Mus musculus: one gene and its partner. The protein of the gene in region 2 interacts with the protein of the main gene of each other region in a biochemical or structural test. Links are inferred from orthologs where the notes say so. Each region holds a gene or a part of one and is shown on either strand. Other genes may lie near its edges.

Region 1 (8,077 bases), on a different chromosome or scaffold from region 2:
CAGTTCAGCTTGTCTGGGAGGTTTGCCAAGGGGCAGTGGGACCCCTGGGCTTCACTGTACCAGGAAAGGAACCTAATAGACCAGACCATGAGCAGCAGGCCTGAGACTAGAAACTGCAGACATGCCTCAAAGCCGAAGGGAGCCAGAAAAGACCTGCCAGGGCAGGGAGGATGGCCCAGACCCCCCTCCACTCACCCGGGAATAGCGCATCGAAGAGGTGATAGAGAAATCTCCCCCAGCCCACGCTGGAAGCTCCCGTGGAAGGCCTTGCAACCCCAACCTTTTGAAAATGGCGCCCCTCCCCCACCTGCAGTCTCCCTTCTTACCCTTCCCAGCCTCCTGCCAGTAGTGGTTTGTCCTGTGACCACTATGGACGGTTTCAAAAGTTACCTCCAGGAAGTGGGGGTGCCAGACACACCTAAGGGTGGGAAGACCTGGCGAGCGCTGTCCATGCAGTGTCTCCTGTCCTCGTGTGTGCTAAGGTCTCTATGTACTGCCTCAGCTAATTGTTCAGGGTGTTCAGGCTGACACAAGTCTCCTGTGCTGAGGAGTCACAGGCTGTGGCCACTTACTTTCTCCACCGAGTGTGACTTCCGCTAACTTTTCTTTTTACGGGAAAGCACAACTGTCCTGGGAAGGTTCTGAACTGTCTAGGTCCAATCAACAGGGATGTACTTTGTTTCCTTTTGTTTTTTTAACATTTGATTTTTTTCAGATTGTGTGTGTGTCTGGCCATGTGTGTAAGTGCGGGGGCGCTTGCAGACAAAGGCTAGAAGAGGGTATTGGAACCCATGGAGCTGGTGTTACATACGGGTGGCTCTGAACTGCCTGATGCGGGTGCTGAGAACCCCACTCAGGTCCCTTGGAGAGCAACCCTCGCTACTAATCCCTGAGCCATCTCTCCAGCCCCCTATTTTGTTTTTTTCTAAATCACAGAAAATTCCATCTGTTCTGGCCCCATTACCTGGCTCCATCTCAAGACGAAAGCCCGTTCCTGACCCCCCTGCTTGTCTCCTGGGCTCTTCCTGCCTTCCTTGCTAGGTTGCTCCTTCTCTGTCTCTGAGTTTCCTGAATGTGCACGGGGAGGGGGGCGGGGGGGGGGGGCTTTTTGTACAATTGGCTGGGGTCACAGCTGATGCCTCCTTTTCAGTCTTGACTCAGATGCCACCTGCTGAGACATCAACCTCAGATAGTGGGCTTCCCTGGGATTGAACCCTCTGTTACAGTGTATCACTTCAGCAAGCCAGGGGCTTGAGAATCAGTCCTTGGGTCTCCCTGTTGGGTAAAGAATGACCCCTCCCACTCATGGTGGTCAGTGTAGCAGAAGCTCACAGTGAGGACATGAGTCCCTAAGGACTATGGGTAGCAGGCCGAGTGAATGTGTGACAAAGTACCCTTCCCTCCTGCAGAGTGCACCCTTAAAGCTGACCAGCAAAACAGGAAGGTTAATATGTAGCCGAGCTTCAAGCCCAGCATAGCAAAACACCAATACTATTTAAAGAGTGGGAGAGGGACCTGGAGTCTGGGGATGTCCAGAACAGCATGGAAGCTTTTCCTGAGGCTGCTCCAGGGTCTTCGTACTGAAGAAGGCAGGAGTCAGCACCCTAGCAAGATTGTCATAGAGCATCAGTCCCTCCAGCTGCCAAGAGCTGTTGCTGCCAGGGATCCCAAACAGCCAAAGCCTGAGACCTGGGCCTGAGGAGGGTGTAGGGGTGAGGCTGCCTCCACCCACAGATGCAGAAACTAGAGACCTCAAGTAGGCCTATGGGTGGCTGTGGGATTAACACCCTATTGGCATGAGGTCACACTCACCGTTTGAGGAAGTGAACCCTGTGAGGAGTCGGCACCCACTGGGCAGGGGGGCTGGTCCCACTGGAAAGAGGGACCCGTGTTCTTGAATGTCAAAGGAGATAAATGGCCACCTGGATCTGAGAAAGGGAATTTTGTAGACACACACACCGATCAGCTCTTGATGGTAGTGGGTACACTGCGAATGTATCACCTTGAAGAAGGAAACAGAAGGAAGCCAAGAGGAACCACACAGACGTGGAGCTTTCTACACAGAAGTTGTGTCACACGTTGTACAAGAAGGGCGAGCATGTGAGACGCTGAGTTCCCCAGTGTGGGGGAGGGCTTGGAGGCTTCGCAAGCACTGCCCAGAGATGAGGAGACTTTAGGCTGAAGAGAAAAAGAAGTCTTTTTTTTTTCCAGAACGAATGGAAACAAATCCCTCCTTGGATCCACGAAAGTGAAATTAGACAAAGAGAGAAAAAGTCATGGGTTACTACCAGGCTAGAGTTCCCAGACCTATCGTGGATGCCAGGAGACGGTGCAGTGATAATCGGATATTGAGAAAAGAATACATCTCCGCTGGCAAGATCCTGCTGTGTTTCAGCTACCGAGCCTCTGTGCAGTGGTGGCTAGCGGATGTTGCCGTAGCGAGAGGGAAACTGAATCCAGAGATGAGCTGATGGTCGAGAGAGAGGACAGAAACTGCCAGATGAGAAACAAGTTAGGGAGCAAAAGCAAAGCGGAGCTTCCTAGGGCCCACCCACAGCCGCGAGGAATCTTGCGATAAGTAGCCTTAAAGATCTGGGAGAATTAATTTTCAAATGTGAGGACAGGAAAGAGAACTTGACTCTGCGTGTTTCTGTTTGAAAAGTAGCAATGATACCTCACTGTACCTTTGAAAATCCTTGCTAAAACATATATATATATTTTTTTTTTTTTACTAAAATCTTTATTGAGTAAAACTTAATTTTTTTTTATTGTTTGAAACAGGGTGTGGGCCTGAAATCTGTGATCCTTCTGTCTTAGCCTCAAGGGTGCTGGGATTCCATACATGGCCACACCTAGCTGAAAAACAATACTTTGGACGAGTGGCCGGAGCTCTTAAACATTGACCTATCGCTCCAGCTCTTCTATCTTTTTAAAATTTACTTATTTTATATATAGGAGTACACTATAGCTGTCTTCAGACACAGCAGAAGAGGAAATCAGATCTCATAACAGATGTTTGTGAGCCACCATGTGGTTGCTGGGAATTGAACTCAGGACCTCTTCCAGAGCAGTCAGTGCTCTTAACCTCTGAGCCATCTCTCCAACACCTCTCTGGTTCTTTTGTAACCAAAATCTTCAGATGTTTCTTACACTTGGTGTGTCACGAATCTCCCTAAAACTACAACACGGTCTCCTAGTTTTTATTTGCTTACCTGTTTGTTTTGAGACAGGGTTTCAGGCTGGTCTCAGATTCACTAAGTTGCAGAAGATGACTCTGAATTCCTGGCCCTCCCACAGTCATCCCCTGAGTACTAGGATTCTAGGGACTTAAATGTATCCCAGCCACTCCTGGAGCATACTGTGTAAGCGAGGCTGGCCTTGGACTCACGGTCTTCCTGCCTCCCCCTTCCAAGTGCTGAGATTACATGCAAGTACCATGTCCAGCCTATGCAGCCCTGGGGGTTGCACTGAGGACTTTGTGCGTGCTAGGCAAGCCCCCCACCAACCCAGCCATGTCTCCAGCCTTTGCTTGTTTGTTCGTTTGAGGCACAATCACGCTGGGCGGTGGTGGCGCACGCCTTTAATCCCAGCACTTGGGAGGCAGCGGCAGGCAGATTACTGAATTCGAGGCCAGCCTGGTCTACAGAGTGAATTCCAGGACAGCCAGGGCTACACAGAGAAACCCTGTCTCGAAAAACCAACTAAAACAGAAGAAGAGGAGGAGGAGGGTGGTCCATGCCTGCAACACAAACACATGGGGCGAGGAGTTCCAGACCAGCCGGTAGCAACAACACCAGAGTGAGCCCCTGATTATTTACAGAGCACCTCACTTCAACTTCATGTGAGCTAAAGACATAGATACAAGAACTTCCTGAAATGAAGGAGGTTGCCCGTTGTGTGGTTCCGGGGTGGGGATGGGTGTGGGGACCCAAGCATAACGCTCGTGTAATTCTACTGTAACGAAGTCTTGGGCGGGCTGTCTGAGACATTAGTGGGGGTGAGGGTAGCATAGTACTGCAGGAAAGCTCCCCTCTCCCTCCTCCTCCCCTCCCCCTGTCCCTCCTCCCCCCAACAGGGTTTCTCTGTAGCCCTGGCTGTCCTGGAAGTCCCTCTGTAGACCAGGCTGGCCTTGGTCTCACAGACATCTGCCTGCCTCTGTCTCCTGAGTATTGGGATTGAAGGTATAATGCCACCAGCGCCCAGCTATACCCTCCCAACCCCTACCCCGGGACAGGGATGGAACCCAGAAATGTGCTACTTACAAAAGGACCAAGAGGTAACAGCATAGCTGAAAAGAGTTAACGTTCCAACCAGGGTGTAGCACTGGACAGCTATGGTGGAGTTCAGCTTGCTGCGGCTACCTCCCTGAGTGTCCTCTCTGTCCCTGAACCCCTTGCTGCACAGTGCTCTGCTCCAGTAGGCAGAGAATTGGAGATGGTCCCAAGCCCGGGGCAAGCTCAAGCTGGCTCACACCTGCAGCAGATGGCACATCCTAACCACCTCTCTCCATCCTTAGTTCTCATCACTGGGGGCATCGTGGCTACTGCTGGACGTTTCACACAGTGGTATTTCGGCGCCTACTCTATGTATCCTTCTACTGGGGACCAGGAAGGTGGGGTGATGGGAGTGCTCTCAGCATGAGCACATCAGTTCACGGAGTGCTACACATAGACTGACCACAGCCTCCAGAGACAGGACCAGCTCCGTCTGCAGCTTTAGAGGCCAAGGCCCAGGGCTGGATGCCCCCTTGCCAAAGGCCACAGACGGGGTTCAGGCAAATGTGGAGCTGAGGCCGAAGGTCCCAAGGCTTGGACTGGCGTCCATTGCCCCTCTGTCCCACCCTGCTGCACAGTAGACTCCTAGGCCAGGGCCTGAGAACAGAAGAGGCAGAGGGCAGCAGCCTAGGCCTAGCATGGCTTTCCTTAACCTCACCGCAGCGCTGCAGGTGTGCTCATCTGTCTGCTGGAGTATCCCCGGGGAAAGAGGAAAAAGGGGTCCACCATGGAGCGATGGTAAGTCATTCCTACCCGAGAGGCCTGGGGACCTGCCCCATGCAGCCCACTCGTCCAGAGCTCCCAGCCCAAGGCCTGCCCAGCTGCCAGGCTCATGTGCCCAGGAGGAAAAGGACCCATAACCCTGGAAGGGGACAGATAAGGAGTGACAAGGGCTTCTAGGTGTGGTCGGTGCTGACCCTCTGACGTTTTGTCTTCCCGCTGTCTAGTGGACAGAAGTACCTGACCTCTGTGGTGAAGCTTTTCGGGCCCCTCACCAGGAATTACTACGTCCGGGCTGCCCTCCACTTCCTGTGAGTCCCTCTGTCCATCCCCAGGGTAACAGAAGACTAGAAGGAGACACCCCATGGGTCTATAGCTTGGACAGGAAGGTATCGCCCAGCCAGCCAAGCCTCTTCTTCATTGAAGTTTATCCAGATAGAAAAGCTCAGCTTTGGGGCTGGAGAGATTGCTCAGCAGTTAGGAGCACTGACTGCTCTGGAAGAGGTCCTGAGTTCAATTCCCAGCAACCACATGGGCTCACAACCATCTGTAATAGAATCAGATACCCTCTCTTCTGGTGTGTCTGCAGACAGCTACACTGTACTCATATAAAACAAACAAATAAATCTTAGAAAAAGAAAAAGAAAAGCTTTTAGAGAGGCCCCAAACCTGCAGTGCACACCAAGCTTAGCACCTGAGCCACAGGTGCTGTACTGGGCTTGTTACACCTGCAGTTTGGGGACACACCCATATGGCCACGCTCCAGCTCGGGCCTTTTCCCCAGCAAGATGTCTGTGGCTTGAATCAAAGGACACATCGTCACAAAGAGGAGCTTCTACAAACCCCAAGCTGGACCTGATGAGAGCTAGCCTCTGCCCATCCCCCGTCCAGGGCCCCGGGGAGGGAATCTCCCTCTGCGACTGTGTGACCAGATGCCCACTGACTGCTATCTGTTTGCTTCCTCCTGTCATGCCTCAAGGTTGTCGGTGCCTGCAGGCTTCCTCCTGGCCACCATCCTGGGGACCGTCTGCTTGGCCATTGCCAGTGTGATCTATCTGCTGGTAAGTGGCTGCCCTCAATGGTCTGCCTCCCTCCCGCACCCACCCTCATGATCTTGGTGCCCGTGGCTCTCGGAGCAGCTTTCTCGCTCCCATTGGCTGTGTCGAATGCTCCTCTGCTGTATCCTGGGCACTTCCCTGATGAAGCTGTACTGTGGCTCGGAGAAGCAGCGTGGTTGGTCCAGGTCATACCTCCAAGCCTCCGTGTGGGCCCATGTCTCATCCAAGCCTGCCTGAGTTTGGGTGGTGTTAGGTGGACTTCCCAGGAGCTCATGACACAGAAGCATCTATTTTATTTATTCTTATTTTTATTTTGAGAAGAAGAGCAGGGTCTCATGTAGCCCAGACTAGCCTCAAACTTGCTCTGTAGTTGAAGATGGCTTTGAACTCCTGATCTTCCTGGTCCTCCGGCTTCTGTCTCCTGATGCTGGGATGACAGATATGTGCTGCTTCAGCTGGCCTAGTTTGTGTTCATTACAAGCCTTCTCTGTTCTAAGGTCATACAGATATCTCGCTGTGTCCTCTTCTGCCAGCTCCATTCTTACCATCTGGATAAAATATTCTGGTTTGTTGGTTAGAAGGCGTAGCCACAGGTGTGTGCTCACAGGTGTGTGCTCACAGGTGTGTGCTCACAGGTGTGTGCTGTGCTGCAGACTTTCTATCTCTCGAGCATTGTGGGATATGAAATCGATCTGTCAATTGATTCATTCTGGCTTTTTGAGACAGGGTTTCTCTGTGTAGCTTTGGCTGTCTTAGAACTCACCCTGTAGACCAGGCTGGCCTCGGACTCAGAGATCCACCTGCCTCTGCCTCCCGAGTGCTGGGATTAAAGGCGGGTGCCACCACTATTCAGCATTTTTTTTTAAAAGAATTGTTTATTTATTTTACGTATATAAGTACACTATTCCTGTCTTCAGACACACCAGAAAAGGCCATCAGATCCCATTACAAATGGTTGTGGTTTGCCATGTGGTTTCTGGGTATTGAATTCAGGACTTCTGGGAGAGCAGCAATCAGTGCCTCCAGCCCCAACCCATGTCCACTGGAGTCCCTAGGGACAGTAAGCAGCTTCAACCATAACATAGCCCCCCTCTGCCCCAGGCAGCCATCCGAGGTGAGCAGTGGACTCCCATTGAGCCTAAACCCAAGGAGCGGCCACAGGTTGGAGGCACCATCAAGCAACCACCTACCAACCCCCCACCCCGGCCACCCGCAGAGGTCCGAAAGAAGCCGAGTGAGGGTGAAGAGGAGGCAGCCTCAGCTGGAGGACCCCAGGTTAACCCAATGCCAGTGACAGATGAGGTCGTGTGACCTTCAGTGGCTGTCTACAGCTCCTGCTTGAGTTTCTGTGGAGTTGTCCCCCCCCCCCCAGGGTGGTGTTGCTCACTGTAATAAACATGATTAATAGCTGGTACGGACAAGAAATTCTCCATATGAGGCTGGGGGAGGGACTGTGGTCAGCAATGGATGGAACACACTCCCTGACCTGTTTGGTGACCCGAAGGCCAGTCATGGAAGGCCTCGTGACTGCCCGGTGGACCCTGGGTGGGCTCATGTTTACAAGTGAGACCCTGAGCCTAGTCCAAATCTGGTTCTTCCAAAAGCCACTGGCACCCAGTCCCCTCCACCCAGTGGAGCCAGAGTACAGGGTGCTACCCTGGTGGCTCCTGGCTCTGAGTGGGAGTTTAAGTCTCCAGTTTGGCTTTACAGCCCTGGGTCCCCATTGGGGAGAAGGCAGGTCCATGCTGGAAAGGTCTGTTGTGGCAGAGACTGTCTTGATGCAGGGGGTCATTCGTGGGGATTAGCCTCAGGCAGAGATGGTGTTGTCTGAACGGTCAAAGTAACAACAAACTGGGGGGGGGGGCACGATGTGGCTTTGAGGGACTGCCTGGGACTTCAGCTGCCTCCCATAGAAAGGTAGAGACCCAGGCCTGATGGCTCTGCCGAGCCCACGTGTTCAAGTCCCGCCCTACCACAGCAGGACCCACTCAACCTTAGGAAAGGAGTTTGGGGCTTTAGTTACCC
Region 2 (9,381 bases):
AAGGTAGGTATATATAATACTGTCTGTAGTATCCAGTATATGGGTATATAATATACCCTCTCATGCCCATACCACTCAGGTCCTCTGTCTCTCCCTGCAGACATTTGAGGGACACGATGCTTCTGTACTGAAGGTGGCCTTTGTAAGCCGTGGCTCACAGCTGCTGTCTAGGTGAGTGAGCTAGGAGTCCTCTGGGGATACCTGGGGAGGGACACGCCCCTACACTGAGCCCATCCATTCTCAACTCAGTGGCTCTGATGGGCTCCTGAAGCTGTGGACCATTAAGAGCAACGAGTGTGTGCGGACCCTGGATGCTCACGAGGACAAGGTCTGGGGACTACACTGCAGCCAACTGGATGATCATGCCATCACCGGTGGCAGTGACTCCCGAATCATTCTCTGGAAGGTTTGAACCCTATGGGGTGGGATGAGGCAGGGCAGTCCTTTGACAGCACTGGGGCTTGGCTGACCCTAATTTGATCCCAGGATGTGACAGAAGCTGAGCAGGCAGAAGAGCAGGCCAAACGGGAAGAGCAGGTGATCAAGTGAGTCTGGGCTGGGTAGACCCTGCTGCATCCCCTCAGGAGTAGCACCCCTTGCACGTCCTAGCAGTACCAGCTCCTGCATCTAGTAGCAGCAGCAGCAGCCCCTGCATGTTCCTACTGTGCAGCACAGGAAATGGGCCGGGGTAGGGTTCATACTTATGGGCACTCAGGCTGAGCCGGGGTCTCTGAGTGACCATGTGCTTTCCTCTGTCCCACCAGGCAGCAAGAACTGGACAACCTGCTCCATGAGAAGCGGTATCTCCGGGCACTAGGCCTTGCCATCTCTCTGGATCGTCCCCACACTGTGCTGACCGTTATCCAGGGTCAGCGCCTACCCCAGGAGGAGGTGGGGTAGGGGAGGCTCCAGGGATTGGTGAGCCCTTTCCTCAAGCTCAGACTTTCCTCTCATAGCCATCCGGAGAGATCCTGAGGCCTGTGAGAAGCTGGAAGCCACTGTACTCCGACTGCGAAGAGACCAGAAAGGTTGTGGGCAGGCTGGAAGAAACCAGGCTGGGGAGGGGGTGGCCTGGTGGGCAGAATGGGGTTGGTGACCATCTGTTACCTACAGAGGCCCTGCTGCGCTTCTGTGTCACGTGGAACACAAACTCCAGACATTGCCACGAAGCCCAGGCTGTGCTTGGTGTGCTGCTGCGGCACGAGGCTCCTGAGGAGCTGCTGGCCTACGACGGGGTGCGGGGGTCACTGGAGGCCTTGCTGCCCTACACTGGTATGTGACATGGTCCTGGGTCCAGGGATGCTCCTAGTGGGTTCACAGACAACCCCCACCCCAGCCTGAGCCTCCTCTGTTTTCCTCTAGAGCGGCACTTTCAGCGGCTTAGCAGGACACTGCAAGCAGCCACCTTCCTGGACTTCCTGTGGCACAACATGAAGCTGTCCCCATGCCCTGCTGCAGCTCCCCCAGCCCTATGAAACAGAAAAGTTAACTTTCTAACTTGGTTTCTCATGTGAATCTGATCAGTCTCTCCCAAAGTCCTTGGCCACACTTGGCTGACCGAGGCGTCATCTCTAGGAATTCAAGCCCACCCCGCCCCATTCCCTCAGTGCACAGTGATTTGGGTGAAGTCATTCCAGTTTTATTTAGAGGAAATAGAAAGTTAGCTGGCCCGTGGCCCTGCCAGCCATAGAGCCCCACTCTTAATCCTGCTTTCTTGGTGAGGTCTAGATCCCTGCTTTGCCTGAGGTTGGCTTTGACAGTACAACCTCTCTGCAGAGCAGCAATACAATCCTCAACGGGGAACCCGAGTCCCTTGTTCCTGTCCCAGTGCCCTGCGGGTAATGGAGCAGCATCGACTCTGGATGGCACTCATACAGGGACGAGTTGGTACTACAGGGGGAATGGTCCTGTCCTCAGCCACCTTGTCTGCCCCAGCACTGTCTGGGAACCCTGGCCTGCCCAGGAGCGAGCCCAGCCCTTCAGGTTGCAGCGACATTGCAGGGAGTAGGCCTGTCCGGCCATTATACCTGCAGGAAAAGCAGGGCTTGGTTAAGGAGTTACCTATGTTCCCGTCCGGCCAGGCAGAGCCTGCCACTGCTCCACCACACAGAGACACACACACTTCACTGTACCTGCACAGCCACCAGCCTCGGTCTGAGGTCTCCAGCACATGGACACGTGCCCCTGAGGGCACGGATAGCTCATCAGAGCGACTGCCCTCGTAGGCCTGAGTAGTGCAGAACTGCCTCCCTAAGATAGGGATGTGGGGACCACTGTGGAGCTGAAGGTCAGAGTCCACCCTCACCGTTCCTGGCCTGGCCTCTGGGCACCCTGCACTGCTCTGAAACCCACTTGGGCTTGCTCCTGGCTCTAAGCAGCACCCACATGCCTAGTGCCCCACTACTACCTCCCTCCTGGGTGTGGTATTGGCCTTGCCAAAGGTCTAGGTCCACTCATAGTGCTGAGTTTATAGTAGGGATGGGCTCATACCACTTCCTTGCAAAGCCAGGCCTGACTCCTGGCCTTGGCACGTTGCTACCTCCTCCAGGTAGGGAGCTGGAAACCAGGCTACCTGCTGATCCTTGTTCTCCACCAGCCACCAGCCTGTTTAAGAGGCCAGGAAAGGGCTCAGATACCTAGGTCTGCATCCATTTTGAACAGAGGGAAAACCCCAGGTTCTTAATAGTGAGGTTTTACCTGAAGGATGTCGTAGTAATATGTCCAGAATTTCTTGAGCCTTGGTGTGGAAAGGTCTGTCTCTTATGTCAAGAGTGTGGAAAGGCTGTACACAGGGAATGCTCTGAGCCTCCAGGCTATGAATGTCAAGGCTGCCTCTGGGTTGGGATAAGGGCTCCTCTGGTGTAGGCAGGATCACCAGGCTGGGCAGTGCAGCCCACACATGTAAGAAATAAGTAGGAAGGAGGCTGGGACTACCCCTTTTCATATATATATATATATCAGCCCAGCCTTCTCATCTGACCCTCCAACAAGTGCATTGGCTGGGAGCAGGGTGAAGGTTAGTCACCTGCCAGGAGGCAGCATGGGCTCCAGATCCAGAGGTTTGGGTACAAAGAAGCCGTGAAGTGCTGAACTCCTCAATATGTGTTCTGAGGTTGCCAGCAATGCCTGTACATAGGTGTCCAGCAGCCGCAAACGTACCAGTCCTCGACCAGTATGCCCCCGACGTGTCAGCAATGGAGCATCTGCCCGGGTATCACAAGCACACACTGTGGGGCCCCACTCACGCACACTGCCCTTACCATCCCATGACCCTTACAGGCCTGACCAGGAAGCTTGGGAAGAACTTGTTCAGATCTCCGTAGCAGGCCTGCCTCCACTGGGAAGGTTTTCTTAAGGGTCTTCTGGTGGGGAGGAGCAGGTGTTAGTCTTTGAGATGGAGAGAACCCCCTAGGGAGGGAAGGGTCCCTAGAAGAGCTCCTACAGGCAGAAGGGGAGGTCCTTGGACTGAGGTCATCCACAGATGGAGTATCCAGAGGACTCTGGACTGGAGCCAATACCCACTGGAGTATAGTCCCAGTGTTAACTTACCTGGAGCTGCCTGAACTCATCCCAGCTCCTCCGCACAAATGTGTCACTGTTGTCTGACCAGCACACGGAGAAGGCAAATGTCTGTGTGAGGAAAGGTAGAGGCGACATCTCCTTCAGTCTTTGCCAGTTTTCCTTTTGCATCTTTGGAGACAATCGGTGCAGGGGTGAGGGACGGGGCAGTGTGGTCTACCTGGAGTCGGTCCATTTGCACCAAGGCTACAGCATGGGCTGATACTGGGTGTCTTGGGCTTGCCATGACTATGGATGCTTGAAGGAGCTCCGAGCATCCGGAAGAAGTGAAGTGGAATTCCCCAACACTGCCCTAAGTAGAGTCCCTTCGAAGCACTCACAATCCAGGAAAGAGTTCAGTTTCCTGGTTCTTGAAGCACAAAAAAACGAGAGAGGATTCATCACAGGAAGACTGCCAGGGGGAGGGGCAAGCCTGGGCAGATGGAAGAAAAGGCCCTTTGTACAAGACTGTTCTCAAACAGAACCACCTGGGGCTCCTCTCCTTCCTTAGTCAGGGGAAGAAAAACTGTAGGGAGTTCCACCACCAAAGCACCTGCCGCCTCAACTTCACCTGCCCCCTCTGCCTCTTCATCCTGCTGTGACCTCCTCCAGGGTGTGCCTAACAGCTTGCTCTTTGAATCCACCCTGGGCTACAGTACAGTATGTTACAGACACAGACAACCTTGAGTCAACTACTGGGTCCTTTTTTGGTTGCTTTGGTTTGGTTTGGTTTTGGTTGGTTGTTTTTGTCTTGTTTTGCTTTGAGATAGGGTTTTGCCAAAGTTGGGAATATTACTGTCTTAGGCTCCCGAGTAGCTAGGTCATAAAGCCAATCTCCTTACTTAGCTAAGTCTTGGCATTACCTTTAATAACTTTCTGGCTTTTTTTCAGAAATGTTGGAAGTCAGAAGACAGAAGCTGGAAAAGTGAGGAATTGTGAGCCCCTCTTACCACTCAGTTGACAGCCCCTGTCTACCCCTCCCAACCTTAGATGCTCTTCACTCTATCTAGCCACTGCCTCTCTCAGATGCACACAGAGGAGCCCCCAACTCTGGGTTCCTCCCTGTCTCTTTAAAAAAATCTGTTCTCAGTGGGGTAGCACATGCCTTTAATCCCAGCATTTGGGTGGCAGAGGCAGGTAGATTTCTGAGATCAAGGCCAGCCTGGTCTACAAAGAGAGTCCAGGACAGTCAAGACTGGTTACACTAAGAAACCCTGTCTTGAAATACACACACACACACACACACAAAATCCACTGTCCCAAATTGCCCAACATCTCTGTTTTTAGGGAAAAAAATGCCAGTTGCTACCATGGTCATAAGTAGGCCTTGCCGGACTCTGGATTCTGCCTCTATCTCCTCTACCTTCCCTAGACCCTGCCCCCAGCGTCACTGGTGTTTCTGTAAAATGTCAAGCATTTGAGCTGATTTCTTATCCCAAAGGCCTGTGCCTAAGGGTCTCCTCACCCCCTGCACAGCTTTCATCAGTTTTGTAAATATGATTCTGGTGTACTGGGTTTTCCGCATTTGCATCACTGGTTAAAGGCTAAAGAGGGAGGCTTGTTCCTTGTTCTGCTCAGTGGAGGAAACAGCACCTGGAGAGAGCAGCCACTCTACAAATATTTGCAGAAAGAGTAAATGAACACATGGAGGCAGCGGAAGGAATTCTTCCTGTGATGGCACAGGCGTTTAAGTCAAACACTTGAAGAGGTGGTGTGGTGGCAAAAAGATTCAAGAATTCAACATCATCTTCACTCAGCTACATACAGAGTTCAAAGTTAGTCCAAGTTACATGAGACCCTGTCTCCAAAAGAAAAAAAAAAAGGAAGAAATTCCTGAGGCTGCTATTAAAATAGGCATAATAATCTTTTATCCAAGCTAGAGGATGAGGACACGCCCTCTCTCAAGGTTGCGCAGTGGGGGACAGTTACTAGGGCACAGGTAGCCTCTGGCAATAAGTACTGTCTGGTCTCTGTGAGGCCACGCCCCGTCGCGCGTTGCTAAGGCACCGAGAAGCGTGTAGGTGGGCACGTCGTAAGGCAGGAAGACCCCAAATTTTGCCGCCCTTAGGTGTCTGAGCCAAGCGATGGGGGTGATGCGAGAAGCATCTCGGAACTCATCTCAGTCCAAGATCTCAGCACAGCCGCAGCGCGCCTTCCACGACACACTTCACATCTGCCGGAGGAAGCCTGAACCCCACCATGGACCACGCACGCCGGGCTCGCGGCGGGTCACCAGGCGCAAGAGTACCCGCAGAGCCGGAGCCGCAGCCGCCAGTGCCGCCTCGGCCTGGGCCTCCGGCGCCGCCTCCTCCCGCCCCGAGGCCTCCTACGCCTCCGCGACCCGGGCCGCCGCCTCGGCCCCCAGCCCCGCCCCGCCGCCAGGCCCCGCCTCCTGCCCCGGCCTGAGCCCAGCCCCGGGCTGCGGTTCCCGCTCCTGCCGCCGCGCGCCGGCGGTGGCGTGCACGCTCCTCCGAACTGTCGCCGGCACGCCCTCTTGGCCCCGCTGCCCGCACGCCAGCAAGATGGCGGCGCCCAGCGAGCCGGCGGGCTTCCCTCGCGGCAGTCGCTTCTCCTTCCTGCCGGGCGGCGCGCGCTCCGAGATGACCGACGACCTGGTGACTGACGCGCGGGGCCGCGGCGCAAGGCATAGAGACGACACCACCCCTGCCGCGGCCCCGGCGCCGCAAGGTTTGGAGCACGGGAAGCGACCGTGCCGGGCCTGCGTGGACTTCAAGTCGTGGATGCGGACCCAGCAGAAGGTGCAGATGCCCCGCTTGGCCGCCCGGTCCCGGTCCCCCACACACCTGGTTTCCAGGTTCCCGTTCGGCTACCGCACGGCCCAAACCCTCAGGGTTGGCTATGCCTAAACATGTTTACCCCTCACCCACACACACCGTTAGGCTCAAACTTTTGCGCTTTCAGCCACTGGCTAGTCAGATCGAGTTAGTAGGCTGTCAACTGAAAAAGGGAGCGTTCTTGTTTCCTTTATTATTATTATTATGATTATTATTAGTGATAATGGGAATTCGAACCGAAGGCCTCTGGCGTACAACGCAAGCAGTCTGCCACTGGGTTGGAATTTTATGGGCTTTCTGGTTGGGTAAGAGTGAATTGACCTTTAGTCGGCCTACTTCTGCAGCGGGACATCAAGTTTAGGGAGGACTGTCCACAGGATCGGGAAGAATTGGGTCGCCACACCTGGGCTTTCCTCCATACGCTGGCCGCCTATTACCCGGACAGGCCCACGCCAGAACAACAACAGGATATGGCCCAGTTCATACATATATTTTCCAAGTTTTACCCCTGCGAGGAATGTGCGGAAGACATAAGGAAGAGGTAAGTTGTGGCTATACCTCTTGTCAGTAAGGTCCCTAGAGCGGGCCTAGCTGATGCCGGGCGGTGGTGGCGCACGCCGTTAATCCCAGCACTTGGCAAGCAGTGGCAGGTGGTTTTCTGAGTTCGAGGCCAGCCTGCTCTACAGAGTGAGTTCCAGGACAGCCAGGGCTACACAGAGAAACCCTGTCTCAAAGAAACACAAAAAAAGGGGGGGGGGCATAGCTGATGTCATAGAGAGGGGCCTAGAACAGTAGATTCAGAAGTGACAGGTTCCTAGGAGAGGGGACACCAAAAGGGATGTTGGGGTTTGGGGGCCTTCTCCTTCCTCAAAAGCCCAGTCCTTATAGCTCTTCCTTATGGGGCTCAAGCCAATCTCTCAGCTTAGTTACCAGCTTTAAAAACTGGACTGAAGGGAGGCAGAGGCAGGCGGATTTCAGAGTTCGAGGCCAGCCTGGTCTACAAAGTGAGTTCCAGGATAGCCAGGGCTACACAGAGAAACCCTGTCTCGAAAAACCAAAAAAAAAAAAAAAAAAACTGGACTGAAGTAAACATCCCTCACTCTCAGTGGCCTAACCTAGGTTGCACTTGCTATTTGAAGCAGTTAGGAGTGAGGGGAGCTCTAGCTGCATTGTGCCCCTGGTGCTGAGAAACAGTCCTTTGTGCCAGGCCCTACCTAGAAACTCTAGATTCAGGCCCCCCCCATCCCCCTACAGGAAGATAGGTCATAGCAGTGCCCCAACTCCCGTCTCCAGACACTGGCAGAGACAGAGGGGCCGGGATCTCCTTACATCCTTCTGTGCTTCTCTCAAAGGATAGGCAGGAACCAGCCAGACACAAGCACTCGAGTATCCTTCAGCCAGTGGCTGTGCCGCCTGCACAATGAGGTGAATCGGAAGCTGGGCAAGCCTGATTTTGACTGCTCGAGAGTAGATGAGCGTTGGCGTGACGGCTGGAAGGACGGCTCCTGTGACTAGAAGATTACCAGCAGTTCGTGAGGGGCATCTAGCCTGGTTCTATGGGCAACAGCCTGATTGACGATTAAAGTGCATCTGAGCCAACACTTGTTTCTGTAGTTGATTTCTGGATGTATTCAAGAGTTTAGCGTACTGACTCTCTAATCTGTGCAACTTATCTGTGTAAGAGAGTTTCAGAGGCGCTGTCATCTGAATCTCACTAATTTTAGCTTCCTTAAGGCTGGATTCAAATTCTTCAATGGCTCGGTGAACATTTTTATGGTTTTCTAAATGGCTTTCAACACTTGGCAAATCTGAGCCCCATTCAGTGCGGTCCAGCTGCACCTGCATCTCATCAACCCAGTTCAAGAGATCTTGAACAAATTTCATATTGACTTCCTCTTCTGTCAAGTTCTGATCCAGCAAAGACGACTTGAGAAGGGGCTTTCGGATCTGCATTAGCTTCAGAGTCTGTAATGAATTTGGCTCTACCCCTAAACTGAAGTTTGGAGCTACAACTGAAGGGAACCCAGGTGCATACACCGGAGTAACTGATGGCGTCAGGCGGGAAGTCATCCCGGACGACAAGCCAGAAGTCACGCTAGAAGACGTCAAGGAAGGGGTTAAACTCTGGGTTAGCCCTGAGTTCAGGCTGGGGTGTAAGGTTTGTGCAAATCCTGAGTTTAAGCTTTGAACACTGCCTCTGGGAACCCTGCCACAGGATTAAGAAATGGAGGTGCCTACTACAGACACTTGGGTGGCCTCCTCAGCGAAAGCCCCATGAGACTGAAGGTGAGAGGCAGGAGTGGTCCAGGTGCCTCGTACCCTTCATTTGGGACATAGTTGCCCCAAAGGAAGATGGGCTAGATGATTGCCTTACTACTACACAGCCCTGGCTGCCTACAAGAACTGTGATCCTGGCAACTCTGCCATTTCAGAATTGAAGCAGGGTTCCCCAGCTCCAGCAGGGTTTTTCTCTTAGGGTGTACCAACCATGGTGCCCACTGTCAGCCTGGCACATGGTCTTCTGCAGCTATGACAAGCATGTCAGCAGAGGGTCCTGGGAACAGCTTCCTTAGCGTTTGAGGCCAAAATAAACTGAAGTGACTTAGGGGCTGGTTTCTGTGTGCTTTGTGTTTGGGCTTACAGTGGTGGACTGGCTCGGTTTGGCCTGTCTGTGATTAGTTGGGCCCTCTTGTCTGGAGTTGGCAGAAGTCACCATGGTGCAGCTGAGACACACATTTCAGGGAGTGTCAGAATTTCCAGGGTGATGAAGAAGCTGAAGAAGACTAGGGGTCTGTGGGGGTACAAATGGGGAGTGGTCAGAGTGTCGCCAGCTGGGATTGTGTCTCGGTGAAGTTGAGAACTGCTGAGTATAAACTCTGCAGCTGTTGAGCATCTCTGGATCTGCTCGGCTGGATCGATCCTTGAGGCCAGACTCCCAACCACAGCATCCCAGCAGCATGTGTGCCCCAGTCCTATGATCACAGGTGGCATGACTTCCCCACCTAAGGAGGCCCTTAGGTGTGCTGGC

The links.
Region 1: the proteins of Noxo1 (region 2) and Cyba form a complex in vitro, tested with the Homo sapiens proteins (3 studies listed by IntAct). The link is inferred for Mus musculus from reciprocal best matches to the Homo sapiens genes NOXO1 and CYBA.

The regions. Positions count from the first base shown.
Region 1 is NC_000074.6:122,424,164-122,432,240, reverse strand, and holds the end of Cyba (cytochrome b-245 light chain), read left to right. Parts: intron 1-4,516; coding exon 4,517-4,586; intron 4,587-4,937; coding exon 4,938-5,012; intron 5,013-5,221; coding exon 5,222-5,305; intron 5,306-5,973; coding exon 5,974-6,055; intron 6,056-7,153; coding exon 7,154-7,363; 3' UTR 7,364-7,470; downstream 7,471-8,077. UniProt on the Homo sapiens protein: Subunit of NADPH oxidase complexes that is required for the NADPH oxidase activity that generates, in various cell types, superoxide from molecular oxygen utilizing NADPH as an electron donor.
Region 2 is NC_000083.6:24,692,767-24,702,147, reverse strand, and holds Noxo1 (NADPH oxidase organizer 1), read right to left. Parts: upstream 5,915-9,381; 5' UTR 5,152-5,914; exon of another isoform or gene 5,024-5,151; intron 4,512-5,023; exon of another isoform or gene 4,422-4,511; intron 3,929-4,421; 5' UTR 3,806-3,928; coding exon 3,740-3,805; intron 3,632-3,739; exon of another isoform or gene 3,631-3,631; coding exon 3,550-3,630; intron 3,363-3,549; coding exon 3,287-3,362; intron 3,204-3,286; coding exon 3,026-3,203; intron 2,880-3,025; coding exon 2,698-2,879; intron 2,605-2,697; coding exon 2,491-2,604; intron 2,251-2,490; coding exon 2,133-2,250; intron 2,028-2,132; coding exon 1,793-2,027; 3' UTR 1,624-1,792; downstream 1-1,623. Other genes in the region: Tbl3 (transducin beta-like protein 3), read left to right, coding at 1-3, 101-171, 250-406, 487-545, 765-868, 957-1,028, 1,114-1,272, 1,363-1,475; Gfer (FAD-linked sulfhydryl oxidase ALR), read left to right, coding at 6,081-6,317, 6,698-6,894, 7,706-7,868. UniProt on the Homo sapiens protein: Constitutively potentiates the superoxide-generating activity of NOX1 and NOX3 and is required for the biogenesis of otoconia/otolith, which are crystalline structures of the inner ear involved in the perception of gravity.